Lepisosteus oculatus: one gene and its partner. The protein of the gene in region 2 interacts with the protein of the main gene of each other region in a pairwise test. Links are inferred from orthologs where the notes say so. Each region holds a gene or a part of one and is shown on either strand. Other genes may lie near its edges.

Region 1 (12,882 bases), on a different chromosome or scaffold from region 2:
AAAGTAGAACAATAAAACCTGTAACATCCTAAAAGAAATGTTGGGAATAACTCACTGCCACTGCCTCCGGCCTAATGGATTAAGGAAGTGAGTGCAGTGGAGGATTGCCGTTGGACAGACAGGCAGGGATAAGACCGTGTTGATGGGAAAACAATCCCAGAGATCAAGCTGGAAACTTCTCTCAGTTGTAACTCTTTATCTTAATAAACCCCTTCGTTTCTTGTTTAACTGTATGCAATTGCATACTTAATCTAAATCTACATATATAATCTTATAAATGTATACATAAACCTATGTGTCCATGATAATGCATAGATATGCTTACTGCAGGTTCAGAGCTGAAAACGCTGAAATGGACTGACAGGGAATATAGATGATAATGATGACATACTGTATGTGGAATTAAGAGGACTTTAAGTTTCTCCTAATGTTGTAAAAGGCACTGAATTCTCAATCTGAAGTTATTATTGAATGAGTGTAGTCCATCTTTTAATCAAATATTTACTGATTAAGGTCTTCTTTCTTTGCCGAAGACCATGCTTCACCCAATGAAGTATAGAGCCTTCTCTTGTACAGTGCCCTGTCCGTGGAATGCACTGCCTTAATCCATTAGAGACTCTGCAAGCTTTGAGATTTTAAAAACCCATTTAAAGATCTATTTTTTCACTACAGCTTTTAATGATTAATTTAGTTTTGCTTTTGGCTTTCACATTTAATGCATTATTGTGTACTACATATGCATAAAAGTTCAATAATTTTGCAACATTGTAGCATATAAGATAGATCCATATGTATACGGTATATGTATAGAGAAATCAATCAGCATTGCCGTTCACTGCTCCTGAGTTTCTATCTGCCTTTCCAGCAATGGCTGGCTCTACCCAGTGTCTGCAGGACACAGAACTGCCCCATTCACAAATATCAGGTCAGGGACTGGTCTGACAGTCCTGAAGGGCATAACGAGATAAAGATGTTTTGTAAGCTAATCAGCATAGCTCAGTACAAAGGACAATGCACTTTTCAAAGTTTCAGACTTGCTGCTTACATCGTGTGAAGTGTACAGTGCAAACAAATGCATTGGAATGACAAATGATTCAAATGAGCCAGACGTCAAATACACTTTACCACAAGACTGTCATAATTCAGCGTGTCCTTGAACCTCTGCAGAAAGTCACGTCCTTGCCCATGGTCAGACTACATTCAGCACTGCCAGCTCACATGCTGTTCAGGAGAATTCATTCACTTAGCTGTCTTTGGGCCATGGGGACAAAGCACAGCCAACACAGATTAGATTTTCCCTGGCTAACTCATCACATAAATTAAATAAAATAAAAAAGAATATGATATTGCTTGCTCCTGCAACTAATGACTTGTTGAGTCATTTATAGGAAGATTTTTTCTTGAAGCTTTGGCGAAGATGGTGTGGGGAACAGTCATCTGATCTATTCTGGCTGGCCACAGCGATGAGGACTTCACCTGTCTGTGATGTAAGTAAGGAGCCCAGTTGTCATTTATTTCCCAGCCCCCTGATACAAATTCAGCATTAGTGTTCGCAGACCATCGCCCTACTGCTATGCAAATTGCCTTATTTCTCTGTTCCTTGCTGTGAACTTTCTTGCTATGAACTAACGTGTATTTATTATTCCAAAGCAGCTCTTTGCTCAGCCAGCACCTTTTCTCTCTTGCCTCTGCTGCACGGACAGCGTGCCGCTCCCGGATTTGTTGGCTTTTAGCAGAGACCTCTACTCTGCAATAATAGATCTAACCTTTTGGTTTTTAAGTCACCAACAGCGAATGGCTGTTAAGGAAAATGCACAGGCCTTTATCTCCAGGCATGAAAACGCAAATCTTTGTACAGCTCAAAACCCTCAGAGCTCCATCTGAACCAGAGTATCCGTATAGCATGAATGAATCTCAAAATGTAGAGGGCAATTGTACCCTCATTTGTATGTGTAGGCAATATACTGTACTGTATCATATATAACACATATTATAACAATATGTACCTCTAGAATACTGGAAAAGCATGTTTTTAAAAGGTAGGGATTTAATACCGTGCTTGTTGATCTGACACTGGTATATAGTGTCATAGTATATAGTTCATTAAGCAATAACATGCAAATTTACTATTTTTAAAGATTATATTAAAGATCCCTCCATGCATCAAAGCATTCATCTTTCCATATTTAGTAATGCGTATGTAAAGATAATTTAAACCTAGAAAAAATAAATGCTTGTATGTTTGTAAATATGTTTTAATATAGTCTCTGTGGTGTTGAGCCTTGCTAACACCACAGTAAAGTTCATACTGGGGAATGGGGGCAGTTGTGGTCCCAGATTGAGCAGTGCTGGCCATGCTGGGTGTGAGACAGTAGAAGGACAGAAGCAGGTGACCATGACGTCTGTGTGAACATGCAAGACTCCAGAGCTGGCACTGCTCAGGCACATGCTGAGGAGGGTCCTGGCTCACTCTTGGGTACAACACGATCTGGCCGTCTTACTGATTCAGCGCATGGGAGAGAGATTCGGATTATTCAACATCACTGTCTGATGCCCATTAGCGCAAAGCCATCAGAACTCCTGCTTTCACAAACTTTTCTCTCCTCCAGTAGCATGATCTGATGTTCTTTCTTTTGTTTTCATTTGGAAGACATCCTAGTCTATATCATTGAGGTATGAACACAGGGGGCTTGATTTTCATCTGTGGGCGAACTCCCACATTAAATTCATTTAATGATGAAATTTAATGGGCTATCTTCCCACCATTGAAACCACAGGAACTGACTCTAATTGACCTAGAAGTGTCTGTTCTTCCAAATGTCCGATATTTCAATACTAAACAAACAAAATGAGAAGAGATTTATCATTAAAATTTCAGTTGGTCACGGATTTTTTTGTTTCTAATCCTTATTTGGGTGCTTGGGTGATTTATATTGTAACATCACTAATCACCTAGGGCCTCTGTTAAATGAATGCTTGCCTGTGATTAATGAATCCATTGCATTAATTCAGTTTAATAGCCTCCTGATAGAGAGCTATTACAATGCTAGGTTTACACAATTCCTTTGTGGGTTCTCATTAGTTTGCTGAAGGCTTACAAACAAGATATAACTGCTTCGTGGTTACGTCCAAAACTGCAAGGTGTAACACCATTCTGTTCACAGCTACAGTCTCCCTGGATTTGAATCCTGAAGAAGATGGCAAGCAGATTCATGTGCTGTTAAAAACACAGCCGTCAAAGGAACAGGAATGCAAAGGCAAAGCGACAAGTTGTTTTTGCTTTTATCTCTATGAAATCATTTCAAAAAGCTCCAAGCAATGCTTTTGTAAGAATGCAAATAAAAGTCACCTGAACATGAGATAAACACTGGCTTACGCTTCACAATTACAGTGAATTAGCTGTTGGTGTTTGGACTGGCATAAGTGGTGCCTCTGTTACAGATATTTATAACGGGAATTGATAGCACATAGTTCTGAGCTCCCTCCTGCCAAGTCTTCATCCACTGAGATACTGAAAAAACTGCCATCCAGCACTAGAGCCACTGAGCAACTGAACATACTGCAGCCCAACACTACAATCTGATTAATGAACAGTTCTCTGCAGTCTTGCAATTCCCTCCTGCATGCCTGTCCCAAACATAAATTAACAAATGAATGTGTTGGCAATTACAGACAAAAACCTAACCAGATGAGAGCAAGTCTCAGCATTCCATGAGGCCCATACAGAGAAACTCTATTAGGAAATCCAAAGTGTGCAGAGAAACTGTCCTATAAATTACTTTATTTCCTTGAGTTCAATGTTAATTTGAATTCATTTTTAAAAGGCCTAAAATAGTGCATTTTCTCATAGTTCCTGGATGATTCTTTGGCCAGCAAGACCAGAGTGCTGTCCTCATGTGTTGTAATGTAATGGGCCAGAAGCTCTGTGTTCATGTATTTTAAACTCACCCTATCATTTTAATTTGCTGCCTTAGAAAACCAGTCCTCTTTCCCTTGGCCAATTAATGGTTCAGTTAATTGATTACGTTTGTTGCTTTGTGTTTAGCTAAGTAGTTCCAGTGGCCAACAATTGTAATAACTGCATCTTACCACTGAGTGGCAGTGTTCAACATATGAAACTAGAAAAGAGACGTGCACCCAGCTAAGAACAGCTTCAATGACGCAGCACTGCCACCTATGAAGACAAGACTCTTGGCAGAACCAATCATAAGTAATTTTACAGTATATACCTGTTTCTCAGATGACTGCATTGCATCCTTAAACATATATCATTTCCCACGGAACGTGGTAGCCTCAGTTAATACAAAATGCATTTTTCTGTCTATTTCAGAGTTTTTGCATTTATGACTTTGGTTTTTCACTTTCCAAACAACGATTTTGTATTTTTAACGTGCATGAAGGTGCAGGTTCTATTCAATGTAAAATTTTAAATGATCATTCTTCAACTCTTGCAGTTGATAGCATGCAAAAATCTAATGCGAAACTCTGTTTCTACAACCTAGGTTACATCTCAGCATAAAATGCACTTTACAATTTCATACTGTAGCAGTGGGAATAGACCTCCAGTTAAAACAATTTGCATTTAGTGAATTTTGCATAATATGTTCCTTAACCAGTTCAAGCACTAGTCCTGCTCCACTGAATTTTTGAATGTGGTACCAGGTGTAGGCCAGGACTGCAGACACTTAATAGTTTGAACCTTCAGTTTTATAATACAGAGTAGGAACCTGAGCACTGAGCTGTTTAACCAAGCCCACTGCCTTCCACATTCCAGCACTGTATTCACTGACCCATTGAGCTCATTGCTTCCAGCACTGTTAACCATTCAATCTCTAGAGATACTTCTCCTCAACACTCCAACCGCTGAGTTGCTGAACACACCACTGTCTAGCACTCTGGCCACTACTCTACCCAACATAATGCAGCCCAAAATCCCAACCATTTAACCACGTAGCTACTGAATATGCTTCTTTTAGATACTTCTGCACCACACTTCCACATTCCAGCCATTCAGCGACTCAACACAAAGCTGCCTTGTACTCCAAGCACTGAGCTACTGAACACTTTGCAACCCAGCAAGCCAGCCACTGAGCCACAGAATGCACTACAGTTCTACACTCCAACCACTGAAATACTGAACACATTGCACTCCAGCACTGAGCCACTGAACACGTTGCAGCCAAGCATGTTGACCACTGAGCCACTGAACACACTGCAGTACAGCACTTCAACCACTAAGCCACTGAACACACTGTACCACAGCACTAAGCCACTGAACACACTGTACCCCGGCACTAAGCTACTGAACGCACTGCAGCCCAGCACTCTGAAAACACTGAACCACTGAACACCTGCACTCCAGCAGTGCACACACTGCAGTGCAGCACTCCAGCCACTGAGCTACTGAACATACTGTTGCTTTGCACACCATCCCCTAAACCACAATCCTGTATCTCCCTTGTACACAGATATATTTTGGATATACTTTGGCCTGGAACAGAAACACAACACACACCTGTAGGGGCAGTAATGTGACTGTTTCTAGTTTTCTAATCACATACAGATGTTTAACAGAGACAGCAAGCAGGGCTTTAATACTTACAAGAGGGAAGATAGCAGTGAGAACAGGAGCCCTACTCCTTCAGCTCCAGGTCTCTCTTGATAAGCACTAAGAAATATAATCCCCAGTGTAGACTAATGATTAGGTCTGCTGCTGGCAGGAGATGTGAGTTAAGGGTCCTTTCTGTGGCCGTGGTCAGAAGCAGCCGTCCTCTTCATGTGCACAGTTCTGACTAAAAAAAACAACAAATGTGTTTCACTGAAGTATTTTATAATCAGAGCTTGTCCCCGCCTTCCTGCTTCCCTCCCCACCTCTATTGTTATAGCAACAGCCAATGACAGGGGAGGAACAGACAGCCTCTTTTAACCAGCCCTACACAGTGCTCAAAGTACTTCTCACTCTGTAGAGATAATACTGCAGGGCTTTCTGCCTGTGAGGTGAATGTGTTGAGTTTTTATTTGCTGCCTCTGGAAGGTGTTGAATTAGCAGCTCTGACTACTTGTGAAAGAACAGGTCTCTTTCCATTTCAGGACAAGCCAACACAATCTCAGAAAAAGTGGTGCTGTCAATTGGGAACATTGAGTATTGCTGTTACAAGAGATTTTACACAACTAAACAGACAGGCATTTAAAAGGCACATGCACCATTACAAATACATAATGAGCATGTAAGCCTGGTTACTAAGACCAGGTACAGACCAGTGGGAGTCTCAGTCTTCAGATAGCCTTGACATGCTTAAGAGGTTGCCGGGTTTGTTTACCGATGTTTAGGTGCACTGCTTTGCATAAAGCGGAGAGTTGCGGCTCAGTTCCCAGTCACATTACCAGTGACGCAAACTTTTTAATACAAGATAATTTACAAGTGAGCCATTCTGTCCTTCCTGCTTCCTTGGGTACTAACAGCTAGCTTGCCCAAGGATGTCATCCAGCTCTGTCTTGAATCAGCTTTAAAAACCGTGGCCTTGTTCCAGACTCCTTCAAGTCTCTGTGTAAAGAACACTTCTCCTATTCTCACCTTAAAATACATTTCCTCTTATTTTGCACTTGTGCCCCCTGTTCACCATTGACCATAAAGACTTCCTGTGAGCTTGTTAATACAGTTCTGGACTTTGAATACTTACATCAAGTCCCCTCACCAGCTAAGGGGTTGAAGAATAAAGAGAGTTCAGTTTTAAACTGAGTGTGTCCTGAGCATGCGGCACAGTCCTTTGAGATCATGAATTAACTGAATAAACCAATTTAAGAAATTGAATCAGTCTGTTTGTAATGTGGCAACCACAGTGGTGCACAGTATTCTGTGGGAGATCTTAGTAATACCCAAACCTACAAATCCTGGGAAACCATGTTGTCAGGCCAGCCTTCAACCCCATATTAGAGGCTAGGCTCTGTCTTAAAACCTTCCTTTACACAACAAATTTTAATCTGGTTTAATTAATTGTAGTCAGTTGTATAAAGAAGAATGTTTTACTTCTTCACCTACTAATATCGAAAATGGCTCCAGTAGCAGAGAAATAAAACTCACTGTCCATCATTCTTTGCTGTTAGCATAGCTGCAGGGTGTTCCCCCCGTGAAGCTGAGGGTTAAAGTGCGCAGTAGGAGTTATTTCCCTGAGAACAATGCTGTCTACATTGTTTCCAGTTTGCACTGTTGCTTCCAAAGTCAATTTGCCAGGAACACATCGACAACTGTGTTCAGTTTCAAACTCTGTGGGGGATACATCTTCAAAACCTTTTACTGCGAGATGTCTTTCAGCAACGTTTTGATTGAAGAAATGGGGGGAGAAAATCATACTGGTAGAGAACTAGAAATAAATTACATCAAAGCTCTTTATAGCGCAGCTTTAAATGTACCCATCCAGTAAAAAATTTCGTGCTATTTACCTGTTAAAATGTGCTTTGTCTTTTCCTTTAGGAATACAGTGACCTGCCTTGGAGTAAATTGCTTTCATCTCTCACCCAATTACACCTCTTTGACTCCATTAAATAAAGATTAAGGAGAGTCTGAAATCAAAATGTTATTCTGCAGTTCAGTCAGCCTTGGGGATTTCTTTCCTTCAGCTGGGAATAAAAAACGTACTGTATATATGTCTTTGATTAGAAATTTAAACCTGGGCAGGGAATACTGTAGAAACTACAAGAATCCAAAAGAAAATGCAATAAAATAATTTAATCTGAAGTGGCTAACAGGGCTCTGCACTGAGGCTTTACTGGTGAGAGAGGTTGGTGTTGTCATGAAGCTGCAGACCCGTCTCCCAGACTGTAACACAGCACTGAGCCCAGAAAGGAGGCGAATGGAAAGGTCATGTGCAATATTGAGGAGGCAGAACCAGTCAGCATTCAGGATTACTTAATGCATGCAGTGAAAAAAAGGGGAGAGGAGGGCAAAAGGCACAGGAAAACCGTCTCCCTCTGCTGGGCACAACAGTCACTCCAGACCCAATTAGACCAACCCTTAAACGATCTAAGAGGTTCCTGAGAAGTGCCAGAGTGGGGGTGGAGAGGTTTGCTCTGACAAGAAAGGGCAGAAATGTGGGTTTATTAAACTCTGGATCGTTGTCACCAGACATCATTCAGGGTCACTGAATATGCATGTGCAATTTAGTAACTGTTGTTAACTGTCAAAGGGTCTTTGCTTTACTGGAATGTTTTCCTCTTCTGCTCAGAAATACAGTGCCCTTTCCTGGCCTCTCCACATGCTGGGCATACTAGCATTATGCATTGTAAATAGAAGGTAGTGATGAAGCTACCGCTCTGATTCCTAGATGATATGCAAGCCCAGGTCTCCAAGTCTTCACCACACACACATTCCCCTTTCTCTGAAGGGGCCAGTGTGCTCACTAGTATTGTGCATACACATGTTGCACCACAGGTGCACAACACTGCTCCCTCTGTGTCTGAATGTTCATTTCACCTGAGTTCGTAAGTACCCAGTTTAACGTAGTGCCTACATAATGGGATCCAACTGACAAAGATCCTTTGCCACTCACAAGTTAAGGAGGCATGTGAGCTCCATTGGACTAAGTTGCCATTGTTAACTGGAGTTGTGCTCCACAGCATAGTAATCTTCCCCATAATAGGATAAAGTAAAAAAATATAAGATTATACCTGACTGGCACAACAGGCCACAGTAAAAGTGCAAAGAAATGCATGGCACACTTAACTATTTGTTTTCCTAACAAAGATGGCTGCCAGCACCCTAAAAGAGTATGACCTGAGCATCAGGTCTTGTACCTGGATGGTCATGAGTTCAAATCCCAGGTGAGACACAGCTATAATAATAATAATAATTGCTTACACTTATATAGCGCTTTTCTGGACACTCCACTCAAAGCGCTTTACAGGTAATGGGGTCTCCCCTCCACCACCACCAATGTGCAGCATCCACCTGGATGATGCGACGGCAGCCATAGTGCGCCAGAACGCTCACCACACATCAGCTATCAGTGGGGAGGAGAGCAGAGTAATGTAGCCAATTCATAGAGGGGGATTATTAGGAGGCCATGATGGGGTAAAGGCCAGGGGGGAAATTTGGCCAGGACACCGGGGTTACACCCTGAAGCGCCCTGGGATTTTTAATGACCACAGAGAGTCAGGACCTCGGTTTTACGTCTCATCCGAAGGACGGCGCCTGTTTACAGTATAGTGTCCCCGTCACTATACTGGGGCATTAGGACCCACATGGACCGCAGGGTGAGCGCCCCCTGCTGGCCCCACTAACACCTCTTCCAGCAGCAACCTTAGTTTTTCCCAGGAGGTCTCCCATCCAGGTACTGACCAGGCTCACACCTGCTTAGCTTCAGTGGGTTGCCAGTTGTGAGTTGCAGGGTGATATGGGCACCCTTGAGCAAGATGCTTCCCTTGGACACCTTAAAATGTCCAGCTGTACAAAGGGATACAGTACAAATATTGTGCTCTGGATAAAAGTGCAATCCAAACAATTATACAAAGAATAGCAACACTCTTCCTGTTCTGACCAGCGTCTTAATGCAACAGTGGTTTAGAGCCAGTCAATTACAGGCAGGGTGTTTGTTTTTTTTAACTCTTTCTTTAATATCAACATGGTTATTGAGATTTAAAATACATCAAAGCACATTTTGGGATTGGAAGCACTTTGGCACAGCTATGTGTATCTGATGGGCTAGAAAATGCAAACAAAATGTGATCAAAGATTTTCTGTCAAATTGCTGTAAAAGGGAAAGGGCTTTATAGAAGTTTATGAACCAGGCATGAAACTTGGATGCCTTCCACACCACAGTGTATAAAAGTTTCAGTGATTCCTGGTGGAATCAACTGCTGGGTCAGTAAAGCAGTTGAAGGGGGTTATGTGATGGGACAAATGACCTCTCCTCTTTTGTAAAATTTTCTTTGTTCTGATGCTGTTAAATTTCAATTCTAATGTTCCTCTGCAGACAGTGTGTAAATAGGAACACTGCACACTAAAAATACCAACATTAATCCCCATTGTTCTTGTCTGTGAAAGAGCAACAACAGGTGGCCAGCAGTGGATCTGCTAGGAGGGTCAGTGTGGATATTACATTACAGAGCATGTAGCTGAGAATTCAGGTACTGATGATCTAGGCACAAACAGCTGACCACTGATGGAAAGCTTCAGCTACCACAGCTATGACATAGAATATCAAACATTCCACAGAAAAAAATAAAAACCCCAGAAAATATAATATGAACAGGGTTTAAAATTTCGATTTGTCCTACTGACAGGTGCTAAGAGCAGGCTCTTGCTGTAGCAGTAAGACGGCTCCTTGTGCAGCTCTTTAGTTCTTTAGTATGGTTTAGTGTGGTTTACAGTATGTACAGTTTTGGTTTTCAGGACATTTTGTAGTCCTTAGTGTTTGTATCAGTGTACAGAGCTAGTGTCTGCCAACATGCTGGAGAAGACCAAGGAAGGGTTATTAATACAATTCACCTTTTATTGTCAGATCTTGATCTCTGACACGGTTAGCTTGAGGACCATGAATGAGTGTTCTGTCTCCTTCTTTTGCAAAACTGAGGGACTTTTCATTTCAGTCCCACACACCTCCATATCACAACCTGGGCTGAATGGGACCCGGTTGCAGACACTTTCAGAACACTGTGAATTGCATGTCACCTCCTGTTCAATGTGTGCTTGATGATTGCAGAGGTCCACACACAATAATATGGTGTATGTATGGGAGGTGGGGGGGAATACTTCATCTTGTAACAGTATGAAAGCTGATTAAAACGATGTGGGTGAGATTCATGTGGAAACACCAGATATCATTGCTGGTGTAGCTATTCACAGAACACGGTGAGTCCACTTTGATTAGCCAAGCCACAATCTTTATATTCATATGGATGCATAAAATCTAAAAATAAGAAACTAGGAGTTTTTAAGCAGTGAAATCAATGTAGGGCATCATGCTGAGTGGTCTGGGTGTTGCTGGTTCGAGACCAGACTATGTCTTTATCTGATTGCAAACTGGGTTTCCCTAAGTGGCAGAGTGTAAGAGGTCAGGTTTCGTCAGGGCTTCAGTCATCTGGAGTATCAATATTATGGAGAGAAATGGCGACCTCCTGTGGCCTGGCAGATGCCTGCCCCTTGCACTGCTGTCAGCAGTCCTCAGATCTGTGTTCGTTCGGCTGAAACCTGCTGCATGAAAAATGGCAGATGGCCCAAAGCAATGTGCACTTCAGGGGAAAATGTGCACACTGCTGGTGCTGACCTTATTGACAACACCGCTCTACACTGGAGGCAAATTAAGAAAAAGAATAGAATCAGTGACTCCAAGCATACAAAAAGAAAATCACACAAACTGATTTGTTCTGTGTGCCCTGGAGCTCACTGAGACTCTAACATGATTTAACTTTGTTTCAATGTTCTCTGATGTCTTAGAATGCTTGTATATACTGTAACACCCTGAGGGGAAGAGGAAGAGAGCACAGCTACATTCCCAATACAAAGTAAAAGAACTACGGAGGGCCAGATTGAAGGTAAAAAAAACTACAACTCCCAGAAAACCTCTGGGCAAGACCCTGGGTAAAAGTGAGTAATTATTGGGATCTGACACACCTGGAGGAAAGCACCTGCCTCAGGTAAGAGAAGGTTACAGATCACAGTTATTTAGATTGTTTAGCAAGATAGAGTTGAAAAGGCTAGTGGAAAGATTGAAGTGGAAATATAATTTTTGAAAACCACTATTTTTTAACTTGGTCTGACTGAGAAGCACGATTTAGTTAAACAGATATCTGGACTGGAGAAAGGACATGAGAGAAAGGTATTTTTTGCTTCTGCGTAAGTTGTGGCATTGTATTGGTGAAGCTCACATGTAGAAAGATGCCAGTGTACTAAAATGTGTGTGTATTTGTTTAACATGTCACACTTGAGGAGTGTACTGTATGTGTATCTTGAATATAAAAACAAACCAGGTCTTTCCATGGGGTTTGCACATACAAAGCTGATCTCTTGAAGAGACACAAGATGCCTTTGACCACATGAAATGCTTCGGCAGGATATTCTTGCTTTTGGAATGAGATGTTTAAAAGAGGCTGAGGAGGGTTAAGATCTATAGCTTGGATGTAAAGTCCTGGTCCCAGAGGGCTAGGTGTGTTTGTGGGTTTCCAATGTCTCTACAACAAGCCCTTCTTCTCAGCAGATGTCTCAAGAAGCTGAAACCCATGAAAACCCATGATGGAATAAAACATATCATGCAAAGAGACATTATTATATTCACATTCAACACTATCTTGTGCAGTGAATCCTTTTCTATACCAAACTTATACTAAACTATATTGACCTCATGTGAAAATGTCTCTCAGCCCTTCCCCCAATTAACCAATCACTGAATTAACTCTGCAACCCACACACACACAATAGAGATCTCAAGGCCTCTAGTGCCAGGTAAGTTGAATCTGTTATCCTCACTACTGTGAGACCTGCTACAGTCTCTTTTATAAGCTATTCAATTGGTCTACTTAAGTCAGGAACCAGCTGGTTTGGCTCATTAAGACTTGTGTTGGAATGAAAACCCACCCAAGGGTACCACTGATCTATGCGTGTACCCCTTAAGGACAGGTTTCTCCAACCCAGTCTTGTAGAACCCCAATCCAGCTTGTCTTAAAGGTTGCCCTAAGTACCTGTTTCTAAAACTCTAGACCACTGCTAGGAGATTAATCACTTAAGAAAGCAATTAGATTAACTTTAGGAAAACAGGGCAATAAGATGTGAAAGATTTTATGTTCATAATGTTCTCAAAAAAGTTGCTTAACAAACCTGCTTATCCGAACACAATTAAAATATTCCAGGCCTTTAGAAATTGATGATTCAATAGTTACTTCTTGACCCTT
Region 2 (12,268 bases):
TTTCTTGGGGAGATGTACATACTGTAAGTGCTTTTAAGATTGAAGGAAGTGCTTTAGAACTGAAATCAGGATGTTTTTCTTTAAACAAAGGGTGTGGGTCTGTTCCAAGATGTCCCAGAGCCTCTGACTCAACAACAATTAAAGAAACGGTCAGATGAGACCCTTCAATCCATAAGCTGCTTGTGCGCAAAAGTTCATTTCTGTTACCTGATCTCTAAAAAATACCACTACTGTATCCCTGATTTATGACTTTTCGCTACAACAAAGTGTGCAAATTTATACCTATTTTTATCAACAGCAGATTAACAGAAAACAGAGCCAATTAACTAACCTGCAAAATGAAACAATTTTTCCTCAAGTTATTTGGTTGATGCTTCTGTTCAAGGCCACCTACATTTGCATCCCTGTACACAGGTCTAATAGTTCAGTGAAGTATCTCAGGGGCACAAAAGCATTGTCTCAGCTGGGATTTAAACCTTCCAGTTATGAGTCCAAAAACATTGCTCCACATTACTGCAAAAAATAAGACAAATGAAGACCCAATAACTACCTTTCAGCTGTTTCGCATAGCGAAGAAGAAACTGATATGGATGCTCCACTTGCAAGTCAAATTTTATGGTCTGTAATAATATTCTTTCCAGCACCATGACTTCCTCCTGTTGGGAAATAAAACTTCTGTTCTTAGTGCCAGCACACTAACGGGGAATACACCTGCTGAAACAATTCTTGTGACATTTTTATGAGTACAATAGGTAGAGTAGTGAAAAACAGAAGCAGAGCTTAGTTAATGTGCCATATGTTATAATTTAGACCACAGGAAGTCTAAGAGACAGCTACAGCAAAACCACTTTAGAAGCAGTTCCCTTATGATTTGTGAAAGCTTCAAAATTTGTCTTAAAATGCTGTAAATATTAAATATTGGATGCCTGATTTACAGTAAGCGTTTTCATCCTTTATTCTGAATTAAAAAGTACTAACGTCTGCCTATTGTTTGCGCTGCAGGCAGGTGAATTGACAATAACTGTACAGTTCCGGCCACAGGAACAGGCAAAAGCTGTCTGGAAAAAGAATAAACACCAGTTCACCTTTGGGTCGTCTCCGAACTGTGCAAACTGCACATCATTCAATAAGCTGCGAGCGGTTTTAATGATGTCTTTGCACTTCTTCGGGGTCTCCTCCACTTTGCCCGCAAGAAACAGACAACAGGCTCCCGTGACCTACACCCCAAAAACACAGACGTATAAGGACCAGTAAAGACTTCATTCAAGGAATAGATAGTTGTTCTTAAAGGACACATGATGTGCTCTGACAAAATGTGCACATTTTATTAATGACACTTTAATTTTATATTATTTTACATACAATTACCACTTAGTTCTGCTCTTATAATATACTTTAACCTCATTAAAAGTTAGTTCCAAATTACCTAAAAGGAGTGCATGAAAAACAGCATTGATAAACACTAGAATACGTACGTATCTAGGGAACTGTTTGAAAGAATGGAACATGTAGAAGCGGTGAAAATAGATGATCCCAGTCGCCAGTGTGTCATAGTGCCTGATCATGTCATCAAGGAATTAAACAATAAACTGACATCTAGTGAAAAACCATTATGCAGAAGAGAAGAACATAGCGCAGGCAACAAGCTGTGTACTCTCTCCGGAGACACGACAAGACACCGAAATAACACTGTGTATCCGATTATGAGTTTCTTTCCATACTGGTGACTATGGAAAAATTAAAATTGAATTAAAAAAAAAGACAAAAAGCTAGCAAGTCCTAGCAATAATATAACAGCTTTCATCCCAAAATGTGACACGTATCAGAGGGAACCCACTTGACTCGCCCCTGGAATTCCAGATCCAGCTAGGAGCTGCGGTCAAGCTGCACTGGCAGCTCCGCTACACAGCTCACGCAGGAGCGAGACACTGCTTCCCTCAGGGAGGCCACACTGCACTGCCAGTCCGTTAACTGCCCGGCTCGGCGGGTGGAGTCGGAACCTGACACTCCACAAGAACAGCAAAAACACATGGGCAGCCGGCGGCCCCGCGAGGCAGCCGAGGAAAGGATACAGCCCCAGGCGCGTCCCCACGTCGAATATGAACCGGGCTCCCTCTCGCCGGTACCGGGCCTCGGTGGCTGGGTCCAGCCCCTCAGACTGGGAGGGGGTGTGCGCCAGGTCCTTCTTGTCCCAGTACCAGCATGGCTTGATGTGGTCCAGGTTTGCACCAGGCGTACCGGGAGTTGAATTCTCCTTATTTTCCTTCATTTATTAAAAATAATATAACTCACAAGGCAGATCCTTTAAACAGCTCACTGTGCAGCAGCCCTGCAAGTAAAATAAAATCATGTCAGACTGGTGCATAAAGGACAAAATACAACTACTGCTGAAACACCTTTTCTCTTTTCGGCTGAGAACACCCGTCAGCAACAGACGGATAACCTTCTTCTCCACACAGAAGCTCAGCTTCAGACACAAGCCAGCCAGTTCCTCCCTTCTCCAGGGGGATGTTCTCACTTGTTTGTCTGAACTCCTGACAGTGTTTGCATTAATCGAACCAAACTGAGATCTTCTCAGACCTCGGCTGGTCTTGACTGAAGAACTTAGTGCAGTTTGGTTTATTCTGTGCTGCCATCATGGGTTGCTCTTCACGGGCGCCGCGCCTGAAGCGGAGGTGTGGTGTGCACTGGGCACACAGACAGCGCACCGTGTGCCGGAACCAAGGAAAGAACGCACTCCATTACAGGACATGTGTGAGACAGGTAGCAAGGCCATGTCTAATACAGTAAAACTGGTGAATTACTGTTTGCTTCTGTGCTGGGAGGCATCACCCAACAGGGACACAGTGTCCGTTTTCATACTTTTTAACAACGTTTCAATACAGACGGATTTTGACCATGTTTTACTAATACAATGAAAAATTCCAGAAATGTACACAGTGAAGAGTAAAGGACACAGCGAGCCCACACTATCACCTGTGTTTTCAGAGCTGTTACAATTAAGCTACTATAATAAGCTATAATGAATTATAGTAAGCTACAAGGTTTAAAAAGTTTTACAAAGGTAAAAGGCTTTGTGTCAGTAACTGTAAGGCTTTGTGTCTGTAAGGTGCTGGAGAGGGACGTAAAGGGTAATGAAAGAGCTGGACTCATGAGCAAGACTTCGTTTGAGTTCGATGTCCAGCACGGTGCTCTATCACATATAGATGCCGGTTCCATCGCAAGGCCCAGTGTTCTGTCTTACTGTATGTTTTTATATGATCGGCTTTTGTGATGGAACATAATTTCTTAATATTAGGTCTGAGGATAGTGCACATTATCAAAACTTTAACAGCAGTGACTGTTCATCTGGTTGGCAGCGATACTCTTCCCTACCAGCTGCAACAAGACGTAGGACCCACACCACGGCCGTGTCGTTGCGCAGCTTCTTGTGCTTGCCATGCCATGTTAGGACCATGACCACTTGGCCCCCCCCGGCAGCACCCTGCGTCAGTACCGTCGGCCAGAGCGCCCGTCACGTGATTTCACGAGCACCGTTTCAAGCGAGCAATGCGCTGGCCGACCTGTTGGACTGGCCCAGGAGGAAGAACGGTCCTCTCCGAGGTGTCGCTTCGGGCACCTCGTGCGTGAACAAAAACCTGACTCGGCTCCTTTCCGCTTTCTACCCCAGAGGGCACAGGTGTGGTTCACCTAGACGAGGAGCATCAGTGGGAAGGCCTTAAGACGGCCCTGATGAAACACACCCGCGCCAGCGGCAGAATTATATGTCAAATCCAAGCAGCTGACGAAAACACCGAGATGGCAAAAGACAAGAGCAGCAGTAACACACAGGACAGACAGGGGTCTGGTCACCACGCACAGCGAACTGCAAGGCACACCAGCGCTCCCTGTGAACCACAGGAACACACAGCCGCAGTAACTCAGGGATCTCACAGGCGGGTCCTGGGGGGCCTGGCGTCTTCTGTTGTTTTTCCCCCCGTACGAAAAGTCAATTTAACACCTAAACTAATATGCATAAATGTGCCATATATAGGATTTTTAATATAGGCATTTCACAGTCATCCTAAAGGATGACTTATGAAAAACAGGTCTTTAGAGGTACGATTACCAACACACTTGAAAGTCTGGTTTATAATACACCACTCATGCAGTTAATAACATAATTAGACCGCTTAAGCAACAGGAAGAGATTCATGAATGAACCAAACCCCTTAAGCCAGCAGGTAACTGGGCCCTCCACACAGCTGAGGAACAGCACACACTAGAGGGAGTCGCAGTGCGTACCACTTCTCTAACATCTGGACAACGCAAACCTCAGCAACTTCCAACGAGTTCTGAAAGAAATGGCATCTCTCATATGAACACAATATTCTGCGTATTAGCGGGACTGTACGGAGGCCACGCTCCTATCCAGTCAAGACATTTTAACGCCGGCTAACAGTTATTACAGCGCCACAATAATGTAAAAGACGAAAGCCAAAACGCAAGCAGGATTAATAATACAAGATGAATGACAAATCCACCTCAAAAAGCTATAAGAGGCTTATATGTGCATTTATTTCTCAATATCGTTACATTAATGCTGTACCTCTATACGCTGCAGCAGTTACAATAAACAGGGCGTAAACAAATACACGAGGGGTGCATTTCTTCCTTTAAGCCGCTGTTTACAGATTCCATTAAAAAAAAAACCCGTCTCCTGTGTAACGACGCTGCATGATTAGAGATGAGAGAATTGCTTACGACAGTCCGTGACCCTCGAGGAAAACAGCGCGCAACTAAACACAGAAAGCCGATCGGAGCTCTCCAGGTTTCCAGAAGCAGTCACAAAGTGAAACTGAAAACCGGACAGCGCAGCACACCCCGAGCCCCTCGCCTGCACCCCACTTCCCCGCACTGCTCCGCCCGGGGTGCAGAGGCGCCGAGGGCCAGACCGTTTCACAGGGGTACCCCGAGTGAGTAGACACGGGCGTCGTTGAGGAAAGCGTTGTGGGCTGTGTGTGCACAGCTCCGGGTTTTTAACTCGGTTAACTCGTTAGCGCAACGCGCGGCCAGGCGAAGGGACTGCTTCCCACACCACCGACCGGTCAGCGCCTCTCGCTTCAGCCTAGCTGCCCCCAGCGGGGACTGAAACACCGCCGTACACACCTGACGCAGCTGCAAGACGACGGCAGCAGTCTTTATTCCAGGGGAGAAGACCACGGACGTCTTCTGTGTCGGTTTAATCCCACAACAAAACTCCCTCCCGTACAGTGGGCGCCGCCATTTTTGAGACGAACACGGTTACGACAGGCCCTCCGTATGGCGAGCACGGAGGAGGGATGTTTTTTTTGGGTCCCCCGCTCTGATTGACATCCGTGCTGACCAATTAGTAAATGGAAGCCCTTTCCATGTAAGGTAATTCATTCAATGCCAAAGTAAACAGCCAATAGGTGGAGTCAGGAGGCGGGCTTTGATGAGCTGTGTTGTGCAGTCAAACTTAAGAGCCGCCATGTAGTAAGTGACCAATCAAATAAAAGAATAGAACACGTTGTCGCTTCCGCAACCAATCAAAACTGGGGGGTGGGACTACTCAGCCTCGTTTTGAGTGACATACATATTAACCCAATGAAAGAGGAAATACTAGGGGACGTATTTCAGCGTTTATCCAATCAAAACCCTTGAGAATGTATGCAGGAAGTGTTCTTTATTCAATCGCAAAGAGGAACAGTGGTGCAGGCGTGGTTTAATCTGGTTGCAGGGCGGTTAGGTTGCACTCTCAGAGCAACTGGGTGAGGACTGAACTCCAAGCTGACAGGACCTGCAGCAGTTAATTTGGAGGTAATGTTATACAATAATGCTACAAAATCACACACTCATGGGCGGTTCGTGGGTTTGGTTCTAGTTTACGTCGGGAACACACGCTGTTTTACTGTGTTGAGTAACGCGGGGCAGATGCCGATTTCCACCGTCCAGATTTACTTTTCCTCCTCAAAGTTTATCCCTTGGTTGTAATGAATGCCTCGGCGACTTCCCTTAGGTTTTCCTACCAGGAGAGAGTTCAGAAAGGCCGAAGAGCATCTGCTGTCTGCTGTGGAAGAGAAGGCGCTGTGCTGCAGTACAGCACTGTGCGATACACCAAAGTTTCAAATGGCTTCACAGTGTTGTGCCAGACTTTGTCCGAAGCATGCCAAATACCTTACATGGGTTTATTTTTCGAAATTCGTTTTAATTTCATTCCATTTAAGAAGAGAATGGTGGTTGTTACTATAGCTATTCAGTGCTGTACTTTTGTGACAGGAGGCAAAAGGGATTTTTGGCATGATATATCATATCTGTATTAAACATCACCATGGTGTTTACCATTACTGGTGGGAACTGTTTTTGTTCATGATTAAAATCTTAGATATTGCTCCCGTCCTACAGTAGAGCTAAGTGCAGTTAGGAAGCCTGCATGGGCGAAAGGGTTTCTAATTTCTGACTTGTGCAAGTCGCTTCATTTAGGTCATGCAGCTGCACATTCGATCCAAAGCGCCTGATTGGTCGGCTTTAATATTGACTGGGCTTCTTAGTAACAAGCAAAACTGGCCCAATGGGGACAATCATACAGGTCCATCTGCGGTTCCGTTCCTCTTGAAAGGTAAGTCGTCTGAAAATGTTCTCCGTAGGCCGTGGGCAGATTTGATCCCTCATCTCCGCAAAGAAGCAGCTCTGAATGATAGCTTGGGGTCTTTGTAAGGATTTTCTCTCTAGAAGCTCTGCTTCAGGGCGTCTGCACAAAGAGTAGTGGGTGTGTTCTGCAAACTACCCAGCCTGTGCAATTCCATTGGATGTCTCAGGAAGTCGACCCAAATAAACAAGACAGGACGCGCCATTTCTTCAGTTGTAAACATCCTTCTTGTCTTGTCAAAGCACTCTATTTACAGATTGACCTCTTTTTCAACGTTGATCTTTTTAATCTTGATAACAGGAGATGGAAGGCAGTTCGGGTGTCACATCAGTGTGGGTCTTTCTAAAGGTGCCTGGATCTACACAGTGCTCAGACACTCTTACTGTTCGGTGCTGATGTAAAAGGTCCTTTTCCTTCAGGAAAGCTAAACGTCGGGGGGAATCTGCCTTTCCTCTTATTTTTCTGGAGTTTAAAATGAATAAAAGTGTTGAGTAGTAAATATTGTAAAGAGAAGCAATTCTCTTTAAAAGGTGTGAGAAATGGAGGGTAAATATAAAATGTTCTGCAGTAGTTTGGAAACTGGAGTTGCAACCAGATTCCTAACAATTCAAACAATGGCCAACTGCCCATCTTGAAAATGTAATTGTTGATTTTGTGTTCTCCCTACATTAGAGAATTGCTTCGGTTACCCCAAATAAGGACTGATTTATATTTTTACTCAGCAGTGTTCTGGTCTGACTTCAAAGAGAAAAGTCTGAGTTATTTCCAGTGATTTCCTTCTGTCACATGTGCAGCACTTGGTTTCAGTCGTTGAGTCTTTTGACTGAGTCTTGGCTTGGTCTCGTAAAAGTGACAAGGGAAGTGAACCATGTGTCTCGCTGGTGGCCAGGAATTTTGAAAGCAAAGCTGTGCAGCTGTGTGGAAGTGCCTGGCAGTTATTTTGAAAACTTTAGTGCTCTATTTGGCAGTATCCTGGGGGTGGACCCTGAGACATTTTCCGTTACCAGTTATTCCATTGTAACCGAAGAAAAAGTATCAGTGTTTCATGAGTGTTTTATGGAATAGAGTAAACTAAACTGATTGACAGACTGACTTGTCATTTCTGTGTCCAGCTGGCAACCGCTGCGTTGAGCAACACTGCTCCTTCTAGAATAGATGAGGTTTTTCCCAGTTTTTATAGGGCAGTTCAGAGTGCTGGATGAGTGAGGGGAACTGGCATCACCCAGTGGGTTTTTGTGTGTTGCCATACACTGACGGTTTGATCATTTCACCCATGAACTATTTGTTTTTGCCAAGGCACAGCATTTTCTTTTTGTGAACAAGCACCTTGAAAGAATGGCACTCTTGTCTCTCAGGAAATATTCTTATGCACATGCTTCTTGGGGTAAACAGGCGTACGGAGCAGTGCCAGTTCTCGTTTGGTGAGGATTCTCTTTATGTTGCTGTATGTGTCAGTTGCGTGATTTGCAGTAAAAAAGTGATTTTCCTGATGTTTGGAAGCTGTACGTCTGCTTAATACGGCATGAAGTGAAGTACAGTGTCAACCCTGCAGGAATAAAGTTGTGAGTGTGCAGTTGCACATGATGTGGGATGATGCTTTTGCTGTGTAGCTCTGCTGCACAAAGGCAGGCCTTCATGCATACTGCACTATTTTTCTTTGCAGGTTTTATTTGAGGAGAGTGTCAGGACTTGAAAGCTGCTTTATTGGAATATCCTGAGGTCTGATCCTCACAGGATCTCCTTGATGTGGTTTGTGTGAAGTGTCTGTTATTAATGTTCTTGTGTTTTAGATCAGTGGTTTTCCTCAGTGGAACTGGGAGGCCTCTGGGTTCCACAGAAAACATTTTTCACTCCAGATCTAGTTGTACTGCAAGATAATGTCCGTATAGTACTAAAACTGAGTGTGTTATGAAATTTGAATTTTTTTGTGTGCAATACTTTGTTTCATCATGGAAAAGTGACTAAGCGTTTCTAAATTAGAACAGACTGATGGTGTATTTGTATTACAAATAGTTTTGCGAAACTTAGCAAGATGTATTAAGAAGTAATACACTTATTAATAATTCCATTAAGGACCATGTGATTAAATAGTCAACTTTTTCAGTGCAATCATCAAGATGAAACACAGTCTGCCTAAAAATAAGGTATTGAGTGCTTTTATCCTAATGTAATGTACCTCAAAGCCAGTCTTTTGAAATAGTGCTTCACATTAACACACCACACAGCACTGTTTCCATGGAGATGCCATTTAGTCTTCTGCATAATGAAAACAGCCAGTCCAGGTCTTGAACGCACAGCATTCAGAATATCATTACGAGCCTGTTCAGATTCAAACGGTTTGAAAGCGAAGAGGGCTGTGAAGAGTCTGATGCGGCGCATCACGCAGCCGTCTCTGTCCGCAGTCTCGAGTGGACCTCCACCGTCAGGAGTGGCGTCACTCTTCAGCTCCTAGATCATGCCCTTTGTTTTTGCTTTCGCCCAGGCATTTTATTTTGGGGTCTCGTCTTTCATATGAAAGATGAAAGGCGAAGCATGAAAGTGTGCTGTACCCCCCCCCCCCCCGGTGGAGCTGTGTCGGTGCTGGCGGAGGAGATGCCACTGTTGTACCTGCGCCTTGTGGTTCTGAGCTGCATGCCCAGCTCCGGCACACACGTGCAGTAGTAGAATAACGAACAAGAGAGGGGCCATCAGATATAAGCTGGTGATTGTCACTGCTGCTGAGTTTCTGAAGATTATTTTAGGAGTGCAGCCTTTTTAATTTAGCAACTGTAAAATACTTTTCTTTGTGTTATCGAGCTGTTAGGTGCGTAAAGCGTGCCACCTAGTGAAGAGATGTGGGTAAGGCTTTTGTCGAACAGCTTTAAATTTTAATATCTTCCAATAGGCTGCTTAAATTAACAAGGACAGTATTTTAGGATGTATGGGAAGATTTAGGAATCACAAGCTGTGATAATTAGAAATCATAATTAGAAATCATCATGGTTTCAGAAAAGCTTTTGCATGGCTGTGGCTTGGATCTTTTGACTTTAAATATGTTTGTTGATACATAAATGTCCATCAAGGAATATTCTGCTGTCCCTTTGTCCCCTGTTGTGCAGTGAAGCATCCTCCTGATCTTTCTCCAGTCTGAGGATGGGGAAGAAGAGCAGAGTGAAGACCCAGAAATCAGGCACTGGGGCTGCCTCAGTGGTCTCCCCCAAGGAGATGATGAATTTAGTTTCGGATCTGTTGCAAAGTAAGACCTGTTTTTGTTAAGGTGATAATTGGTGCAGGTGCATAAAATCCCTGTGGGTTTCCTGTATCTCAGTGAGGATGTTCTATCTTAGGACATGGTTTTTTTTTTTAAACTTATTTCAGTCCTCCAACACCTAGAGGTTGACATAACATTTCCTAAAGCCACTTATTAAACAATCATGATGTTGTGCTACCTTAATCATCTCACTTATTTAAATGCTACAACTTAAGCAGCGCCAAGAGGCAGCATTACTACCACAACACCATGCACCTTTTTTTAGTTTTTCCAGTTTGAAACATGCAGAAACTTCACTGAAGGTTTTAACAGTTCTGTTTCTTAGCTCTTTATTTGCATCTGCTGTGCCAAAGCTCAGGATTCAATTGTTAATACCTCATTATTGGATCATATTGTATTGTAACATTATGAGTCTCAAACCACTGTTAGGTTGACCAGTCTTGCCATGCATCACAGATGGAGAGAGCCACATTTCCAAGCCTCTTACATCTTGTCAGCAGTGTTTTCAGCTTCTTTAATACCAGAGTATTTAGGGAAACATCAGTTTCAATTCCCACAAAGTCTGGGTAAAAATGAATGTACTTCAACTAATATTCTACAGCAGAATATCAAGTGCCCCATTTTGTTGTGCACGAAATAGGAGGCATGTAATCGATAGTAATAGCTAAAATCTATCAAATAATAGCTCAAATCTGTTCTTTAAACGTTTTCCTTCTTGGACAGAATATAAAACTTTTCACTGTTATAGCAACCTTGTCTGCTATCAAGAAAACAGAAAGCATTTAAACATTACATGTCAGATGTCCTAAATTTGGCAATGGTCTTCAAAGAATGCCTTGATCATGTAACTGGCATTGTCTGAGACAAATCCAGTCATGCTTTTAAAATGTATTTTCAGTGTATTCAAATATTACACTATGCCCTGTGCCACCTATAAGGTATTTCTGAAGTGCAAATATATGTACAGTATCTGCTGTAAGAACTGAAATTGTTATTCTAAAGTTGCTGAGGTTAGCGTACCTACAGGGACACCTGGAGGATATTGGCTGAACTACAGGGCAGGAGTCCTGAAGGTCACATGGTCAAGAAAAGCCCCAGCTCTTAACATGAAATAGACTATGCAGTGCAGACAGACTGCTTTCTTTGGACGTTATTATTGTCTTTACTATTCCACATGATATTTTGTAAGAACTGAGTAAATTTTAAAATGCTATTTGCAGAAGAAACTTTTTTTTATTCACTTTTCCGTGGTTTTTCAAAGATTGTTTTCCCATGCAATTTGAGTAGTTCCGTAAGGAAAATTCATTACAAACCAATCTCCCTGGTTTTATGTATCCTGCTTTGTTCGTAGAGTGCAGCGGCCCGGCCCCAGCTCCGGGAAAGGAATGGGAAGAGTACATTCAGATCCGATCGCTGGTAGAGAAAATCCGCAAAAAGCAGAAAGGTATCTCCCCCTTCAGCAGGGAGCAGTGTCTTTCTGAACAAGCTTCCTCTTGAGCACTTCCTCCAGAGATTCCCCATGCTATTAGCTCTTCTAGTGAAAGGAGTTCAGGTTTTCCCCAGGAGCTGATTTATTGCAGAACCTCATTTTATGTTTTCCTGTGACTTTGTGACCAAGCGTTAGACTTGTCCTCGTCAGTGAGTTCACTGTAAATAAATGTGTGGTGAAAGTGGAGATATCCTGGTGAATATGAATTTGGACCAATTATGATTTTTTTTTTTTCCAATGGAGATTTTAGAAGGGGTTTCTCTGGAGCATTCCTGCTCTCTTTCCCAATACACATCACCCCCCCTTTCTGCCCTCTGATGCTTTGAGTATCTGTCCATTATTTTGTGCATAATAATAACATAGCAGCAATAATAATAATAGCAGCAGCAGGTCACTTGTCTTTTTTTAAAATGACTTGATCCTGGTTTCTCACGGGTCCAGGTTTATCGGTGGTGTTTGATGGGACAAGGGACGACTTTTTCCCAGAGCTCATGTCGTGGGCAGCAGAAAACGGAGCCTCGTGTGAAGGCTTTGAAATCTCCAATTTCGCAGAAGAAGGCTATGGTTTGAAAGCGACGAGGGATATTAAGGTTTGTATTCTTTCTCTCGCTTCGTGGGGAGTCTCATGCCCGTTTTTTTTTCAGATAGCCCCTTGTTTTCCAGGATGGAGAAGATGCAGCGTGACTGAATGGTAGAATAAGACGGTACTCATGGGTTAGTGTGGCCGTGGTGCCACTCACTCTGTGAATGAGTGGAAGGCAAGTCCTCCTAATGAAAGGGCGGGTTCATCTGAGGGCCCTGGACAGAGAGGGTTTGTTCCCACCTCTTGGGAGCCCTGTTTGGTGTAGCTAGATGTTGAGATATTTTCTGTCGTACAAAA

What was found.
Region 1: the proteins of ccnk (region 2) and cdk18 interact in binary tests that used the Homo sapiens proteins (3 or more experiments, as listed by UniProt). The two-hybrid records come from large-scale screens. The link is inferred for Lepisosteus oculatus from reciprocal best matches to the Homo sapiens genes CCNK and CDK18.

What each region holds. Positions count from the first base shown.
Region 1 is NC_090700.1:37,777,726-37,790,607, forward strand, and holds the start of cdk18 (cyclin-dependent kinase 18), read right to left. Parts: upstream 5,809-12,882; 5' UTR 5,603-5,808; intron 1-5,602. UniProt on the Homo sapiens protein: May play a role in signal transduction cascades in terminally differentiated cells.
Region 2 is NC_090703.1:1,879,707-1,891,974, reverse strand, and holds the start of ccnk (cyclin-K), read right to left. Parts: upstream 5,333-12,268; 5' UTR 5,149-5,332; intron 5,099-5,148; exon of another isoform or gene 4,744-5,098; intron 2,330-4,743; 5' UTR 2,270-2,329; coding exon 2,073-2,269; intron 1,558-2,072; coding exon 1,476-1,557; intron 1,218-1,475; coding exon 1,086-1,217; intron 657-1,085; coding exon 551-656; intron 1-550. Other genes in the region: setd3 (actin-histidine N-methyltransferase), read left to right, coding at 9,782-9,884, 11,251-11,343, 11,830-11,978. UniProt on the Homo sapiens protein: Regulatory subunit of cyclin-dependent kinases that mediates activation of target kinases.